Drosophila melanogaster: one gene and its partners. The protein of the gene in region 2 interacts with the protein of the main gene of each other region in a pairwise test. Each region holds a gene or a part of one and is shown on either strand. Other genes may lie near its edges.

Region 1 (4,485 bases), on a different chromosome or scaffold from region 2:
AACAGCAGGAGCAGCCGGAACAGGAGTATCCGGAACGGGCCGACCACAATCGCGCCCGGGCAGTGGAGCTGTGGGGTCAGCAGCTGCGGCTGGAGCAGTCGCCGGCGGAAAATCCGCTGTGCCACAACAGCCTGCCGCGTCAGCCGCCGGCAAAAAGTAGCTGGAGTCCCGACTGCGAGGATCGCCTGACGCTGGAGTGCTCCATCAGTAGTCCCAGCCTGATGCGCTCGTCCAACGATGAAACCTGCTCGGAATTGGCCGATCTCAGCGAGACCTTTGTGGTCCTGGCTGAAAATGGTTCGGGGGAGGAGAGCTTGTCCCCGGCCCAGACCACCATCATCACAGCCAGAAGGTCGAGTGCACCGGCCGTGGTCCAGCAGGCGGACATTGCCAACGAGACCGTCACCATCGAGCGCCATCTAGATGCCCATGAATAGGGGTCAGCACCGAGTTCTCCAGCAACAGTTTCTTCAATCAACGTACTTCTACTCATGTGTTCCATAATTAAACGAAGAAGGGAAATTCATGTTTTATAACTAATAAATCCATTTTAAATAAGTTGATTTTGTTATTTTATTTTCAACTAGCTAGTTCAAGAGATTCAAAGGTATAAAAATTATAGTGGGTAGAATCCATTTCGAGGGTGAGCTTAATGACTGCATAATACTAAAACGTCACACTCACTTTTCCTCCTTTCGCTCCTTCAAAATAAACGCTTTTGCCTCTTGCATAATTTCCGCCAGTAATAACTATTAATGTTAGAACTAATAAACAACTTCGTGATGTAAGTGCTCTGCGCCACGCAATCCTGTCAAAACAACCAAAATGATAGGCAGATGGGCATTGTTCATGTCCTGACTGACATCCTCGTCAATTGCCAGCGACAACTGGGCCAAGCACTCATAAAGTGGCAAAATAAAATGAACTTGACTTTGAGCTTGGAGGTTAGCCTTTTGCTGATTTCGATGAGGTAACAGTGCGACCGAATCGAATGTCAGTAATTTGACTGAGGTTGCGAGATGGGTGGTTGGAGTGATCTAGGAGCTGTCCGGATAGACGGTTCCTATCAGGCGCATACCGTTCCATTTCCATTCGTGGGAGACAATCGTGGCGGAGGCATGACCCAACTGGATGTGGCAGGGTTCCTCCTTCGCCGTGGCCAGGAAGCAGGCGGTGTACAGGGCCATGTCCAGTTCGGGCGAGATGCCCACAAAGAAGCCGTTGACTGGCTTATTGATGTTGTGAAACGTGTAGCGAACGCTGAGAACCATTTGGTTGTGCTGAGGAAATATAGCAATCCCCTTTTGTAAGGATCATCTGTTACATTTGTCTTTAAGCCTTACCTTTCCCATTTCCTTGTGGTTCAGCCAGCCCTTGTAGTCCACATTGCCACGTTGCTCCTGATCTGCAAAGTACAGCCAGTTATGCAAGCCCAGGACCTTCTGGTCCCGAATCTCCGCCATGAAGACGTGCTCGAAACTGGAACTGCCCACAATGCCACGACCTCTGGAGTAGGGAGTGAACCACAGCTCCTGCAGCAGACGCAGCTGATCGTCATATTCTACGCTCACAATATCTAGATGGTATTGGATAGGTATACTAGTCTGATTTATTTCATTTAAAGGTTACTCACCCTTGTGTACCAAAAAACGCATGGTCAGCTTCATCACACGCGTACCCATCACGGCCCTAAGGAAATCATATTGCTCCTGGACGTGCTCCGGCGTTGGATGCTCCTGCACAGCCACGTCCAACTCGTAGTTGTCAAAGAGCCTCATTAGCAGAGCGGTGGTGGAGTTAGCATCCCTGGCCAGCAGATCCTGGTGCAATTCAAAGAGGCTGGAAGATTTCAAGAAATATGAAATAATGTTTATTAGACAGCTTTAGTATTTAATGAATTAATAATTATTTTAATTAAATTGCCTTATCATCAAATTAAATATTTTAATGATAAAATTCATTAGGCGGCGCAACTAGGTACTTACTTTCTAGGGGCGCGATCGTCATGAGCACCTGAAGTGGTCTTCCCCTGGAGATTCACCTTGTAGAGGTATGGACTGACCTCGGTCTCCTCCGCGTACAGATTCTTCGAGAGGGTCAAGACGTCATCCGGCGTTTTGGGCAGCGGCTTGCTGTGGAAGTACTCTAAGAGAAAAAACCGTTGTCCGTTCGCTTACGGAAGAGAGCTTAAAGAGACAACTCACCGTAGAAGTGCCAGCTCAAAATGCCAATGGTGATCAGCAAGCCTACGATCACAAATCTCTTTAGCTTCTGGCATTTGGCGCTGTCGATGTTGCTAGTGCTGTTTGTTTGCTGCTGCACTGCGTCCATTGTGATATAATTATCCAATTAAGATTAGTCAAACATTTGTTTTTGCGCCTCTGTTTACTTTCCCGATGCTCGCCGTTTATCTTCAGCCAAAACTCTCGCGTTGATCGAGTTTTATCTGCTCTTTCCGACCAACTACCTTTATGGCTGAAACGATACTGAGCGGGTTTGCCCCACTGCGGATCTGGCCGCTCATATGCTTGCTGAACACACAAGTAGTTCCCCCGAAAAATTGGATAACACGCTCTCCCTCTCCAATTATTTTCGTTTTCGGCGCTCTCTGGGGGATCATTGTTGTGGTTTGTTTTCACCTCGCGAGCAGCCTTTTGTTTACTCAGGAGCGGATTCGTTGGGCCCCCATGCCAAATTTCAAGTTTGAGGACATAAATGACAATGTGCAGCATATGGTATAATTTATGCGGCCAGTCAAAGTAGGAAAACAATTAGTTTCCTAAAGAAATAAAGCTAAGCCAAACGAATATAAATAAAATGTAACTGAAAAACTAATATTCTGTTTTACCTTGGATAATCATTTATATTTTAATTCATTTTATAAAAAGGTTTACAATTGAATCAGTCTTTAAACGTGCATGAATGAAACCAATTATTCTTTTCCACAATACTTCTAGTATCTATAGATATTTAAAATTCAATTCATATTTTTGTGGGAACATATGGCACGTGGCAAGCCTACTAATTTTTGGTACTTAAGGAATTTCATCCAAAGTCTCTTTTAATTACTAACATCGTGTCTTGAATCTCTCATCTGGAAGTACTAAACAAATAATTTAATCACGCACTTACTAATTTGTTTGTTTCAGCGAATATAGCGTCATTTGTATTAAAGTCTCGACTGTAATATAATTACTTCCAAATTGGGCTTAAACCATACTGTGTTTAACAAAAAAAACTTCAACAGGAAACTGTGACGTGATTTGAAAAAAAAATTGACAATAAATTGTGAACAAAATATTGTATAATTGAACACCTATAATTGCAGTGCGAAATTTTCTTAGGGCTTGATTTTTTTTTAATATCAACAAGATTTTACTCTTATATTGTCTGGACTGCAGTTCCTACAATTAGTTGAAAATAGTCTTTAAAACGTAAATACAATTAAATACATTGTCGCCAAAGATGGAATGACGAAAACCACATTAACTTTCACAATCTAATACCAAGATATCCATCATGCTATATTTAAATTAACCTTGATCAATATATCAATATATCAATATATTCAAGGCACGGGAAAACAAATAGCTCGTCACGAAAGGTGTAATTTGTTTTCAGTTTGCTTTTGGATTGGATCCACCTGGTAGAAGAATTCAGTGTACTAAAGGAGAGCTTTACAAATATTGTAATTTGATACATTATGTTTTGGATTAGCATTTGATTTATTCTTCACAGTGAAGCGAATTGTTTGCTTTGTTACAATCATCTAATATTTTCGAATACAATGTTTGCCTTTTTTAAGCTTAGGTATAGGTAAATTTGATTATCAAGGTTAGTTCTTTATACTTAAAGTAATTATGTCTTGTAGTCTAGCCGAAAACTGGATTTTGCTGCTTCTTTTAATCTCCTGACTCCTAAAACTCCGAAGCTTCAAAATTCGGAGCGCGCGTTTTATTGATTAGCTCAGTTCTAATGTTGTGACAAGCAGTCTCAGACAATATTTACCAAATCTTACGAAATGAATTCACGAAATGAATTTCAAGAAATATGAAATAATGTTTATTAGACAGCTTTAGTATTTAATGAATTAATAATTATTTTAATTAAATTGCCTTATCATCAAATTAAATATTTTAATGATAAAATTCATTAGGCGGCGCAACTAGGTACTTACTTTCTAGGGGCGCGATCGTCATGAGCACCTGAAGTGGTCTTCCCCTGGAGATTCACCTTGTAGAGGTATGGACTGACCTCGGTCTCCTCCGCGTACAGATTCTTCGAGAGGGTCAAGACGTCATCCGGCGTTTTGGGCAGCGGCTTGCTGTGGAAGTACTCTAAGAGAAAAAACCGTTGTCCGTTCGCTTACGGAAGAGAGCTTAAAGAGACAACTCACCGTAGAAGTGCCAGCTCAAAATGCCAATGGTGATCAGCAAGCCTACGATCACAAATCTCTTTAGCTTCTGGCATTTGGCGCTGTCGATG
Region 2 (4,453 bases):
TTCAAAAAGTGTTATGTACCGAATCCCGTATATACGGGATAAATTAATTAATTAATAATATTAATTTTTCCGATGACAATGTAAATATTAAGTGCATGTATCCCTCGTCAGCTTTCCTGCTAAACGGCGGCTGTCAAGCATTCCAGCCAACTGCCACTTGGATACCCAAAAAGCCAGAGATCTTTAGGAGGAAACCAGAACAAGATCACCTCGGGTGGTCGGAGGACGTCACTCAAATTGAAGTCCGGCAAATGAGATTTGCCCGGCACCGGAGTGTAGAGCATGCAGAGAGGGCGAATGGAATCCATATCCGCAGCCCAATCTTCATCATCTTCGTCTGCGAGTTGAAGTTGTTGGATTTTTAATTAAGCGTGGCCTGCACCCGAGGCTTTTCGTCGAGTAGCTCTTCGGGACACGGGAAGTACGGCGATCTCGGCGGAACAGGTCTTGTTAGTAATTTTTAATTTGAGCTCTTCTGACAGCCAGCTGTCATATAAATTTAATTGAATTTACATTTTTATTAATTGCCAAGTCTGCTAGTGAGCCCAGTCTCGATCTCGTAGTGCTACCCGTTGGCATGAATGGGAGATGAGTTGCTTAAGCCGACTGGCTACTCATCAGACCATCAGCCCATCCACATCAACATCCCCATCCACTTCCACTCTCTGAATGAATTTAATTTGAGATGATTTGTTGATGGTTTCGTTGTGGTGATTTCTTGCTGACTAATTTAATGTGATTTTTAAATTGCCAGACCGAGGCAGAGTGTGTGGCCTGCGCAGGGGAATCAGAATCTCATCGGGAGATTGATTGGGCTCATGGGAGTGGGGGCAGCGTTTTTACGGAATTAATGAGATGACACGCCTCTCGCTGGGATGCGAAACCCCCTCGTGATCATTATGAACTAATCTAATTTGCAAGCCCGCGATGACAATCGAAGACGGAAGAGAAGTCCCCTCGATCCTTGCCCACCTGGGCAACAGCGCTAACGAGGACGCTTCTCCTCGAAGGCCCCCTCCAGTTTAATTCGCAAATCAAACAACCGCAGGGCAGAGATCGGAAATTCGCGCATAAGTAAATTAAAAATAAATTTATGTCCCGACCAGTGAGGGGGTCAGGAAACGCATGTCCAGAGGGAAGGAGCGTGTGTTAACCGGTTTCGGGACGAACGCGAATGCAAATCCAATTAAAATTTCGCAAGCGATCAATGGGCGAGGGGTGGAGGGCGGATCGCATCCTGCGAATGGCGCTAAGCCGTAAAACGAAGCTGTGCGCTGATTTAAAACACTGCGGGGCGTGCTTATTGATTAAATACAAATTGCGTTCATTCATCATCAGCTCTAGGGTCTGCTTGATATTGGTGTTTTTATTGTTGCTGCTCTGGCTGGCAATTAAATTACGATTTGAGGTGGATGCTACGCTCGTTTTGCAAATAAAATCCAATTTCACAGTCCTCTAAAATATAGGACTAAGATGCAAAACTAAGATGCAGTTTGAATCCCATCACATTTCGCGCCAAGGGCTGCCAACCTGGGTGAACGGTTTTGTGGTGTTAGTGCGATATCTTAGATATTTTCATTTAATCGATTCCTCTCGATAAGCCATCGATATTTTTTGTATAATGTCTTGCTTTGTTGTTTACAAATTCGTTTTTATGTTACGCAGTTCGTCCGTGCTAAATGATACACATGAAAGTAAATTGCATCAGATTAAGTTACATCGAATACTTCTCCACAATTACAGATGTGAATAATCCGCCAGAGGTGTTGTAAATTTATGAATACCAAGGGCTGCGTACAAAACAGTAGTGCAATTCAGTGGCAATGCCAGGCACCAGTGACACACGACGACTGGTGGACGCCCTGGACGAGGATGACGAGATTCTGGGCACGGAGGGCAGCTTCGTTCCCGCTTTTCGTCCGCAGGACCACCATGCGGATGAGCAATGTCTCATGGAACGCCAGCAGGACGAGGTAGTTTTGGTGTCCAACGAACCCGAGAGTGGACGACTCTTCACCTACCTCGTGTTCTACCTGTTGGGCATTGGTACCATGACCCCGTGGAATTTCTTTGTGACTGCGGAAGATGTAAGTTTAACGAGTGGAAATTTCCGCACCCGCATCCTAGTCAATTTAACTGAACTTCGGACATATCAATTCCAAACAGCTGAACAACTGGGCCAAGCGCAATTCTAAGGCGCGGTGCTTATCAGCTTTGTCGTCGTTTCTTTACGACCCACACCCAGACGAAAACTCTCTTTTTTGATTTTCTTTGTTTTCCGCTGACTTACGCTTTAACCCTGTTCGCTTCTCTTTCAGTACTGGAAGTACAAGTTCCGGAATGCATCGATTAATAACACAGACCTGGAGGAAGAGCTCACCCCGTTGCAGAAGAGTTTTACCTGCGACTTGGCTCTCACGGCCACTATTTCTGGGACTACATTTCTGCTGCTAAACGCCATTTTCGGACACCATGTGTCCCTGCGCACCAAGATGTTAGGAACGCTGTGGATGATCCTCATCCTTTTCGGGGTTACAACTGGCTTCGTGGAGATCAACACAGACACGTGGCAGGAACAGTTTTTCCTAATCACTCTCATCATTGTAGTGCTGCTAAATAGTGGGTACCATGAAGTACTCCTTGAGTGTTTACTTAATATTTATTATATATAGTATCTGCGGCTACAATGTCGGGAGCCCTCTACGGAGTCGCTGGTCTATTTCCCTCCGAGTTTATCACCGCTGTGGTTAGCGGACAGGCTCTTGGTGGTATCCTCACAGCCCTGGCCTTCATTCTTGTGCTTGCATTCGACACGGGTCCCAATACCACTGCATTCATCTTCTTCATTGTGGGAGGAGTGCTCATCCTGCTTTGCATTGTGTGCTACGTAATCCTGGCTCGAAAGCCTTTCTTTAGGTATTATCTCGAAGGTGGCGACAAGTACAAGGTCATCCGGGCAGTGCCCTCGCACAACCGGAATGGAAGCGCTGAGGGCTTGCCGCTTGAGCCTATTTTGCGTCAGGTCATGTCGAAGATCTATCTGCATGCCATTTCCCTAGCGCTCCTCTATACCACGACCCTGTCTGTCTATCCGGCAGTTACAGTGCTTATGCAGTCAGAGTACGGCCACAGCGTGTGGACAGGTAAACAGAAAACCTATTCTTTTTGTTCGTGCCTCATATGCGGTGTTCTTACAGATGTTTATTTTCTGCCCGTCGTGAACTACCTGATATTTAACTGCGGTGACTATTTTGGTCGTCTGTTTGCTGGCTGGATGGAGCGACCATTAAACCAGAACACTTCGCTACTATTTATTGTAGTGCGCATGGCGTTTGTTCCGTTATTTCTATGTTCAAACTCCAGCGAACACAGCTTTCTGCCAGTTTTGGTAAAACACGACTATACTTTCATAGCGATGATGGTAATGTTTGCCTTGTCCAACGGATATTTTACGAACATACTACTTATAATGGCGCCTAAACGCGTAAAGCAGCATGAAAAGGAGCTGGCTTCGTCGATAATGGCAGCTGCTTTGAGCTGTGGCATGGCTGTGGGATCACTGCTCAGCCTTGTATTTGTTCAAATGCTTTGAATTAGCCAACAAAATAAGTCTGCCCATAGTGCCTTCGGGAGTTTCAGAATCTTAAGCATTATAGTGATAGTTAACTTGATATTGGTTGCTCTTCCAACTACTTAGGGGGTGTTAATGTTTTTACTTTTGTTACAAGTCTACTGACTGAAATTATTTACACAGCGAAATTTTATTTAAATTTTTTCCAAAACGAAGTGTTATTTAATATTTTGAGTTATTTTGATGCTGTGTGTTGTTTTCCAAATTTTACTCATTTTTTATTTTAACAAGTTTACTATATCGGGATGCCTAGATTTAAGGTTTAAAGTTTTCATTATATACTAGGAATAAGACGATATTAAAAAAATTAGAACAATTAATTTTTCTTGTTTAACGTTTATTTCGGGTTTTCTGTGGATCACAACAACAATGTGGATAGATTTTATTGGATTGCTTTTGTCATTAATCATTGAATTAATTAATGAACTCCATCGTAGCGCGGTCTGTGAAGAGTTGTGTTTAAAATATACTTAGACTAGAAATCTAGTGGCGAATTGTAGTATGTGCATATATCGAGGGTATACTGTACCTATAAGTACACAGCAACACTTAGTTGCATTGCATAAATAAATGTCTCAAGTGAGCGTGATATAAGATCACCCATTTATGCTTTAAGCTAAGTCAGCATCCCCACGCTGGCCGCTGGCCATATATGCGCATAAGCTCTCTCTCTCTCTCTCTCTCTCTCTCTCTCTCTTATACATATATATATACGCTGCTCTTCTGCCGCTGTCGACGGCGGCGCAGTCGCAGTATTTAGGTAAGATTAGACACTCTGTAGAGGTTAAGCGGGCAGAACCGTTTCTGCTACTCGAAGAGATA
Region 3 (4,969 bases), on a different chromosome or scaffold from region 2:
CGATGGAGTCTCCTGCTTCGGAAAGCATCCCAAGCAACTTTCCACCTTGGCCACCGGCGCCTATGACGGCGAAGTGCGCATTTGGGACTTGGCGAATCGTATCAGCTCTCGGAACTTTGTGGCCCACGACGGTTTCGTTCGCGGCATTGCTTACACCCAGAACGGAGGTCGCATTTTCACCGTGGGAGATGATAAAACCATCAAGGTTTGGAAAGCAGAGGCTCCGGAAGTCGGCGAGGATGAGGTGCCGGTGAACACTATACTGAGTAAATTTGGACTGCACGGCATCTCGCACAATCGCAGGGATAACAAGTTCGCCACCTGTGGCGAGGTATGCGCCATTTGGGACGAAAGGCACAACGATCCTTTGAAGACATTGAAGTGGGGCGTCGATACCCTTCACACCATATCCTATAACCCCGTGGAAACAAGCATCCTGGCGTGCTGTGCCAGCGATCGCAGCATTATCCTGTACGATCAGAGAGAGGCGCAGCCACTAAGGAAGGTCGTCCTAACCATGAAGAGCAACAAGCTCGCGTGGAATCCCATGGAGGCGTTCAACTTCACAGTGGCCAACGAGGATTGCAAGTGAGTAAAACGGCCATACGAAGAGGATGTGTTGCTAAAATCTTTATTTCTTACAGCCTTTATACCTTTGACACTCGCAAGCTGCAAACGCCGCTGAAGGTTCACTTTGACCATGTTTCCGCTGTCACCGATGTTGACTACTCGCCCACTGGCAAGGAATTCGTCTCGGCCAGCTACGACAAGACCATTCGGATCTACAATGCCCACCACAGTCACTCGCGGGATATTTACCACACAAAACGCATGCAGCATGTGGTCTGCGTGGCCTGGTCCCTCGATAATCGATACGTTTTCTCCGGCTCCGACGAAATGAACGTCCGCATGTGGAAGGCGAATGCCTCCGAAAAGCTGGGCGTCATCCGTCCACGTGAGCGCGTCAATTTCAATTACCAGGAGGCGCTGAAGCAAAAGTATGCCGCTCATCCGCAGATCAAGCGCATCGCGCGCCATCGCCAGGTGCCGCGTCACGTGCTCAATGCACAGAAGAAGATGCGCACGGTCAAGGAGAAGGAGCAGGTCAAGGAGGCCAATGTGCGCAAGCACACCAAGAAGAGCAAGAAGGTGCCCTACGTCAGCGAGAAAAAGAAGCATGTGCTGAAGGAGGAGGTGTGAGGATGATTGCTAACGACTGTAGTTGGATAAGTTTGAATAAAATTGATTTTTGTAAGGAGACTATGTATGTATATATTAAGAAGCCTAATCTCAATTGAGTTTCTCACTTTCTATCATTGTTCTCAAGTGACTTTCAGTTTGGTCAAGTCAAACCGAAGTTATCAGTGAATTTGCTTAGTTTAAACTATTGTTTGGCTTTAATTCAGTGATACTAGAAGAAAGAAGATGTTGATAAGTTCTAAGGAATACTCTCCTGTTGCTCTAGAGAGAAAACTCATTTGCTTTGCCATGCAGCAACGTTTCGCGGAAATTTGAAATTCAATTCGTATCCGATAAGCCCTCGCGGGCGATAACGTTTGGGGAAAATCGGAGAGACGCGTCCATTTCTAGGGGATTCTCGATTATAAAAGGTTGCCAGCCCCACCGTTGGTGCTCAGTATTTGTTCGTTTGTTGTTACGGCAGCCGCCAGTCGGTCGTTAGTTTTTGTTTTCGTTCATTTGTTTATACTCGCGCGGCACTCGGCCCCCCTCCCGTTCCCACATAACCCGTTTGAAAGGCATCAACTGAGAGTCATTGAAATCATGGAGGCACTGGGGGATCTCTTGGCGCCACACAGCGAACTAATCGCCAAGGTAGCCGGCACCATAACTACCCTGCAATTTCTGTCCGGAGTGGTTCTGATGAACGACATCCGCAAGAAGGGTAGCAGCGACGTCTACCCGGTGGGCCCATTTCTCTTCGGAGTGGTGCTGTAAGTAACCTAATTGGGATTCCGTGATGCTCCACTGCATGCGACATCGAAAAAAAAACTAGTGGGCAGGGGGCAGGAAAAGCGAGTGAAAAGAACAAAAGCCAACGCATCTGTGTGGGAATTGATTAAATTTTAGAACTGTCGCCATGACAGCACAGAATCGAGTCTCTTCAAGGCCGCCAGTGAATCGGTTTTGCACACAATTCAAGAAGATAACAATGGAATCGATTACATCACTGCGTTGGCCAAATGGGAATTACACTTCGATCATCCGCGACCGTTACATTTCGAAATCGTTAACCTTGTCGAAAATCCGCCAGCAGCACTTTTGCCGCCTTATCGATGCGAGAACCCTCCAAACACGTAGCTCTTATCTAGAGTGTATAATTTTAGAGCTCCTCTATTACGAATGCTGATCCGGTAGAGTCTGTCCAAATCTGGGAGAGCCGCTAATCGTTTATACGACGGGCGAAAGATACGCGACTCGCCCTCTCCACGTGCTCGGCATAAAGCGGGGCTGCCCAGATTCCAAAGGGGGTGGGCCACCCAGTGGTGGTGATGGGAATATCTTGTCATCTATAAATATAATCTTCTCTAATTATAGCCGTAAGGCTTGTCCATTACTGCATATGAATAATAGTGTTTGCTTAGCAAAACATAATATTTTTTTAACTATAGTTTCCGTAATAATACATTTCTTTAAACAATTCCAAATTCCTGCTGGCTAAAGCACTAAATGTAGATGAACTCTCGAGGAATTTACCTTTTTATTTTTAAATCGTAAACTTTCCACTGTTTGTTTTGAACATCTCAAAAGATCATAAAGTGCCATATGGCAGCAAGTGAATGAGTACCATCAAGTGAGTGTGCCATCACTGCGCCGGGGCTTACTTGGGGGTGGTTTTCCGGAAGGTGTTAACTTGGACTGTGTCAAGTGTAAGGACCCGCAGACATGCAAGCGAAGCAACAGTTGTATGCTAAACGAATTCCACTCCACCCAATGGGCGCTCGAGGTCTCGGTCAAGGGCAGGTTCCTCGGCCAGTTTGCATTTCATTTCGCCCAGCCCGGGTGTATTTCACCATTGTTGTGGGTTTGTTTATAGGTTGATCGATGATAATGCTGATTATTTGTTGAGCGTTGAGCTCCTTATCAAATGCTACGTGTACCATGATTTGCACGCCGGCCCTATTATGCTTATTTATCTATCTCCACCTAGTATAGAATCTGATAACGCAATTAATAAGTGTAAACTGGTTTTTTTTTTCAATGAAGTGGTAGACTGGAGCACTTTAAATGAAAACTAGTTCCATTTCTCTTGATTCGAACTTTCTGTAGCGACTTACTGCTGGAAAACTGGTTCGGGCAGGGTCAATTAATTTGAATTAATTATAATATCCTCAGAAAACTATGCTCTTATCTACAAGTTAACTGGAATTTATAAAATTTCCAGCCTTATATTGAAGAATATTTTAAAATGAATATGAATGGTAACAGTATTACATTTTTGTTTAAATATAAAAACCAAATTTTGTCCTAAATTAAAGTAACTAATTAACAAATTGTTGAACTTTCTAGGACCGTTCTCAGCTTGAAGCTGGCCAACATTATGAATGATGCTGCCATGATCAATACGAATTTAATCGGCCTGGTGATAAACTTCGTCTTCCTCTTCGGATTTTACTACTACGCCTCGAGCGCCAGCAGGAGCAAGATCTGGAAGCAGATTGGCTATTCCTCGGTGTTCCTATTGGCCATCACCGCGTATGCCAACTTCGAGGATCCCGCCAAGATTGAGTTCCGCCTGGGAATGCTGATCACCGGCATCCTGGTTTGGATGGTGGGCTCTCCCCTGCTGCATCTGCCGAAAATCATTGAGAAGAAGAGCACCGAGGGAATGCCGTTCCCGATTATCTTTGCCGGTAATCTGGTGGCATTTTCCTGGACGCTGTATGCCATCTCCATCAAGAATACTGTGATGGTGGTAAGTTAGCAATTAATTCTATTAAACGAGAATGTAAATTTGAACCGAAAATTCTTCTATTTCAGCTGCAGAACCTTTTGCTGCTGGTCCTGGGCGGCATTCAGCTCTCCATGTTCGCTATTTATCCCAACAAACCGGCTGCCGAGAAGCCCAAGGACAGCAAGAAGGACAAATAATTGAAATCGAACGCTTTACCTAGAAAAAAGGACAAATAATGGGTTGTTGCAACAACATTACCAAGTAATAAGTAGCTAGGCTTTGAGGAATAATCAAATTATTGCTTGAATTTACACTAAACCGCCACAAGAAAACTAAATTTGAGCTAAACGAATTATTTTTCTATATAGGAAATATTTTCTTAGAACAAATCCAGCTAACTAAGTTGCTAGCTAACCTAGAATTGTTATTATATTGACTATTATTGTATATAACTACTACATACTTGCAATTTTTGACAATAATTCAAATCTTCCAAATGCATACGTATTTATAAAGTCAACATAATATGTAATAAAACAATCTGTTACAAAATCGAGTGAGTTGATGGTAAATGCCATTGGGCATTTCCCGTTTAGGCTGCTGGCACCGTGGAATTGTAGTGGGCACCCAATTGGTATATGTGGCGGTGGTAGCAGATGATCAGCGGTGATCCACCGAATTCCTCTTGCCCCAGGAGCGTCGGTGCTCCTTCCGCTTGGATAACTTCAATGGGCACCCGGAGTAGCGATGAGATGGCCTTCAGTTCTATGTGGCCACCCCAAGCGTGAGTTTTTGCTATGTCGTGGCAGTATTGTTCGAATTGTTGGTCGTTCAGAATGTCTCCTGTTTCCGGGTGGATCATGTATGAGATAAGCGAGTCCTTGTGAGCACGCACATAATTGGCAGTTTCCTCCCGCAACTCCTGAACACTGTGACCTTTGGTGCAATTATTATGGATTAGTTTTGGTGCTGTGTGGACTGAATCGTGAAGCATTACCTGGAAGAGCATTTACGATAAGTTGGTGTCTGATGGACTGATATAAGCAGTCGCCATCG
Region 4 (3,457 bases), on a different chromosome or scaffold from region 2:
AAAGCTAGTGCCCAACCAGGAACCACTGCACTTGACTGCGGCTTCGCTTTAATGTTGCCGCATGGCCGCAATTATTCAGCTGGCACTTTGACTCTGATTCGCCGCATGCGATTCCTATGCAAATTCGGCCGGCCACGGGTGACCCTTCCGGTGCCATAAATCGCCGGTGCTGGGCCAGGCTCGTTCCTAATATTCTAATTAAATGCAGCATGGAATGTCCAGAGACGTGCTCGGTCCAAGTTCTGCGGAGCATGCAGATCACGTGCCAAGGGGAATCCCCTCGATTCGACGATGGAAACCACGAGTAGTCGAGATGTGGCCGATGGGATTTATTCCGGACGGAGTCTAACTCCTTGACCTTTTCGACTGCATTTGAATTAACTGTCGATGCATTTGAATTCATCTATTATTCAAACGGCGCATATGCAAATTGTCGAGTACACTCAGAGAAACCAATGATGTATCACTTTATAATTCAAATTTAATTTAAGAAGCCAATGTATTGTAAAAGTAATAATAAAATATTTGTTGATTACAAATACATTCTTATTAAATAATACAAAAAAAAAACAGGATCAAAGGTGGGAATTTTATAACAAAAATTGTATGAAAGTTGGAAAGACACTCTTCATTCCTATGCACCCCAATAGTTATGTACATACGAATTACCAGTTTTTGATCACAGTGTAGCAGGTGCATTCAGTTGACCTTGCCCTTGGACTTGACCTCTTTCGGCCGAATGTAGGTCTTTATGTAGAACTTGGTGAACATCAGAAACATGAAGGCGCTGGCCGAACTTATGACATAGATGACACCCCGCGACGCCGAGCAGTTTGGCTGGAAATAGGTGTACATGCAGTGCAGGAACATCAGGAGGAACTGCACCAGCTGGCCCAGGGTAAGGTACTTCTTCCACCAGAGGCTCTCCTGCACATTCTGGCTCTGCGACGAGGCGTAGTAGTAGCCGTACATGACGATGTGCACCAGAACATTGAACATGCAGATCAGGAAGACATGGCCACCAAAACCGTAGAATCGGATCAGCATGTGCGAGGTGAAGACCATGAAGACGTGATGGAACACATGGAGGAACGTGATCTGGCGCTGCTTCTTGCGCAGCACAAAGAATATGGTGTCCATCAGGTCGAGCACCTTGTTCAGATGGTACATGTACGACAGTGTCCTTTCCGTGGACTTTAGCTCATGATCCTGCGGCAGGACTTGCATGCAGCTCAGGTTGTACGGCTTCTGCACGAATAACAGATGGATGCCCTGGGTAATATGGAGCAATCCATTGAAAACGATTAAAAAACTGTGTATATCGATATCCTTCGACTTACGTACCCACACAAAAATCACCGAATTGAACAGGACTTGTCCGATGTTGTAGAACTTGAGCACACCTCGCAGCTGGAGTGCCTCATGCTTGTCCATCAGCTTCCTGCCCAGCTTGAGCACAAACAATAGATACACCGTGATGATGATCACCGAGGTGCGGATACTGCCCGCCAGCGGCAGCTGGACAGGATCGGCGAAGGGCTTATCGAACACCTCGAACATTTTCGCGCACGACTTAACGAGTGACTTGACTTTTACCTTCTGTGATTTCTTTCTTTCACGATAGCCACTATACTATTACCTATTTGCTAATTACATTAGTGCAAATTTCCGGTATGTTTAACCCACTATCAACCTTCAACTTGAATACTTAAAGCTTTGCAAATCGAACTAAATACAATATAAGTAACAGTTCAACTACGTTTTTATTTTCAACATTTTATTAATCAGCAGTGCCATTATTTACAAAATTACTCCTTTTGACATTATTGTCAATACAACAAAAAAAGTGTTCTACATTTATAAAATACTGGCGAGACCCAATTAAAGGGGTATTTTGCATATTTAATAGCATTAAGCAGTCGAGTGGATAGAGAGTTCTAGAAACCAACAAATATCTCCCATTGCTTTATGTAAAATATATATCTATGTATAATATACGATATATACAATGATATAAAACAAATGAATTTGTTGTATCAAAAGCATTTATTAATGACATTGATTAATGTAAGGAACAGTGATATTAAATCTTAATTAGTTTTGCTCATCGGCCCACCGCCGATTTCGTTTTCTTGGGAAGAATGTAGGTGCGAACGTAGAAGTTACTAAATAGAATTATAAATACTACAGATATCAGTGAGCCCCAAGTTGCCGATAATCGTGATGTTTGACAATCAGTTTGCCGGAGGATATAGACGCTGTGCGAGAATATAATAACAAATTGGACAAGCTGAACGACTGTGATGTATTTCTTCCACCAGAGATCGCCACCCGAGTTCCGATTGAGGGACGACTGGTAGTAGTAGGTGTACATCATGGTGTGCACCACCACGTTGAAGGTGATCAAGAAGAATCCATGGCCGCCGTATCCATAATAATACATGTACAAGAAGCCTATGTACACCATGTATACGTGGTGGAAAACGTGCAGGAACGATATCTGGCGATACTTCTTTCTGAATATAAAGAACACAGTCTCCAGCAGATCCATGAGCTTGTTGAAGAAGTAGGAGTAACTGAGCCAACGCTCCCAGTTCTTGTACTCATGATCCAACGGCAGATTGGATATGCAACTGAAGTTATAGTTGCCAGGACCAAGCATGAAGTGCACACTCTTTAAATTTGGAGATACATATAATGAATATTAATATATTTTTGTTAAAAAAAAGAGCATTACTTACAAATATTAACAAAATGACATTGTATGCGATTTGCACGATGTTGTAGATCTTGATAGCTCTATCCAGATTGTAGGGCTTTTGATTCTGCATAAACCAAGGACCCACTATTTTTATGAAGACTAGATAGATTCCAAGGATGGTCAACACCGGCCAGTGGCTGCTGGTCAACGGAAGACGCACAGGATCCGGTGGCGATCGATTCAGGAAGTCCAGCATATGGGCAAACATGTCGGATATCTAAGTGTTATCGACGTCGGTGGAATAGCGACTGATGTGGACTCCGGCCGAGAACCGAGAAATGGTAATCTGCTCGTTTTCGAGGCTGATTTAAGTGTGTGTTTCTATTATACAAATACCTACATACGTAAGTAAAACCTATTACGCCGACCATATAAGAGGGTATTGCGGTCACAAAGTAAGGAAAATAGGTTTCCATCGCTTGGAATGCCGGATATGTTGAACATCCACTGTCCCCTGGTTACGAAAGGTAAAATAATGGCATTCGTATTTAGTTTTTAATGTAGTCCAGTTTTAAATGCAGTCCAGTTTTTAATGCCTTTTGACGTAATAACTTTAACGTATTCTAAGATCAATCGATTTTATATAATTCTAACCGTGTCACTTCTAATGAAGTTTACTTACACTTTGTTTGATATTGATATTTTCGTAGTAATAGCATACAATTTCGGGCAAAGTCTTGTGTTATTCCACCTTTT

What was found.
Region 1: the proteins of Ent1 (region 2) and EndoU interact in a two-hybrid assay, tested with the Drosophila melanogaster proteins (one large-scale study listed by BioGRID).
Region 3: the proteins of Ent1 (region 2) and CG7272 interact in a two-hybrid assay, tested with the Drosophila melanogaster proteins (one large-scale study listed by BioGRID).
Region 4: the proteins of Ent1 (region 2) and CG16904 interact in a two-hybrid assay, tested with the Drosophila melanogaster proteins (one large-scale study listed by BioGRID).

The regions. Positions count from the first base shown.
Region 1 is NT_033777.3:15,906,439-15,910,923, reverse strand, and holds EndoU (endoribonuclease U-specific), read right to left. Parts: upstream 2,527-4,485; 5' UTR 2,332-2,526; coding exon 2,205-2,331; intron 2,146-2,204; coding exon 1,986-2,145; intron 1,840-1,985; coding exon 1,634-1,839; intron 1,577-1,633; coding exon 1,344-1,576; intron 1,281-1,343; coding exon 1,038-1,280; 3' UTR 557-1,037; downstream 1-556. Other genes in the region: CG45105 (uncharacterized protein), read left to right, coding at 1-437. UniProt on the Drosophila melanogaster protein: Endoribonuclease that cleaves single-stranded RNAs at uridylates and releases products that have 2'-3'-cyclic phosphate termini. Preferentially cleaves single stranded RNA at poly-U sites with CU, UC and AU sites cleaved less efficiently.
Region 2 is NT_033779.5:355,057-359,509, reverse strand, and holds Ent1 (equilibrative nucleoside transporter 1), read left to right. Parts: upstream 1-1,635; 5' UTR 1,636-1,823; coding exon 1,824-2,087; exon of another isoform or gene 2,088-2,181; intron 2,182-2,318; coding exon 2,319-2,619; exon of another isoform or gene 2,620-2,672; coding exon 2,673-3,143; exon of another isoform or gene 3,144-3,197; coding exon 3,198-3,592; 3' UTR 3,593-3,945; downstream 3,946-4,453.
Region 3 is NT_037436.4:15,499,309-15,504,277, forward strand, and holds CG7272 (uncharacterized protein), read left to right. Parts: upstream 1-1,629; 5' UTR 1,630-1,782; coding exon 1,783-1,952; intron 1,953-3,528; coding exon 3,529-3,934; intron 3,935-3,999; coding exon 4,000-4,110; 3' UTR 4,111-4,461; downstream 4,462-4,969. Other genes in the region: CG7275 (uncharacterized protein), read left to right, coding at 1-588, 645-1,200; CG7857 (uncharacterized protein), read right to left, coding at 4,506-4,849, 4,911-4,969.
Region 4 is NT_033777.3:9,815,398-9,818,854, forward strand, and holds CG16904 (uncharacterized protein), read right to left. Parts: upstream 1,583-3,457; 5' UTR 1,561-1,582; coding exon 1,345-1,560; intron 1,273-1,344; coding exon 700-1,272; 3' UTR 531-699; downstream 1-530. Other genes in the region: CG9459 (uncharacterized protein), read right to left, coding at 2,105-2,674, 2,742-2,969.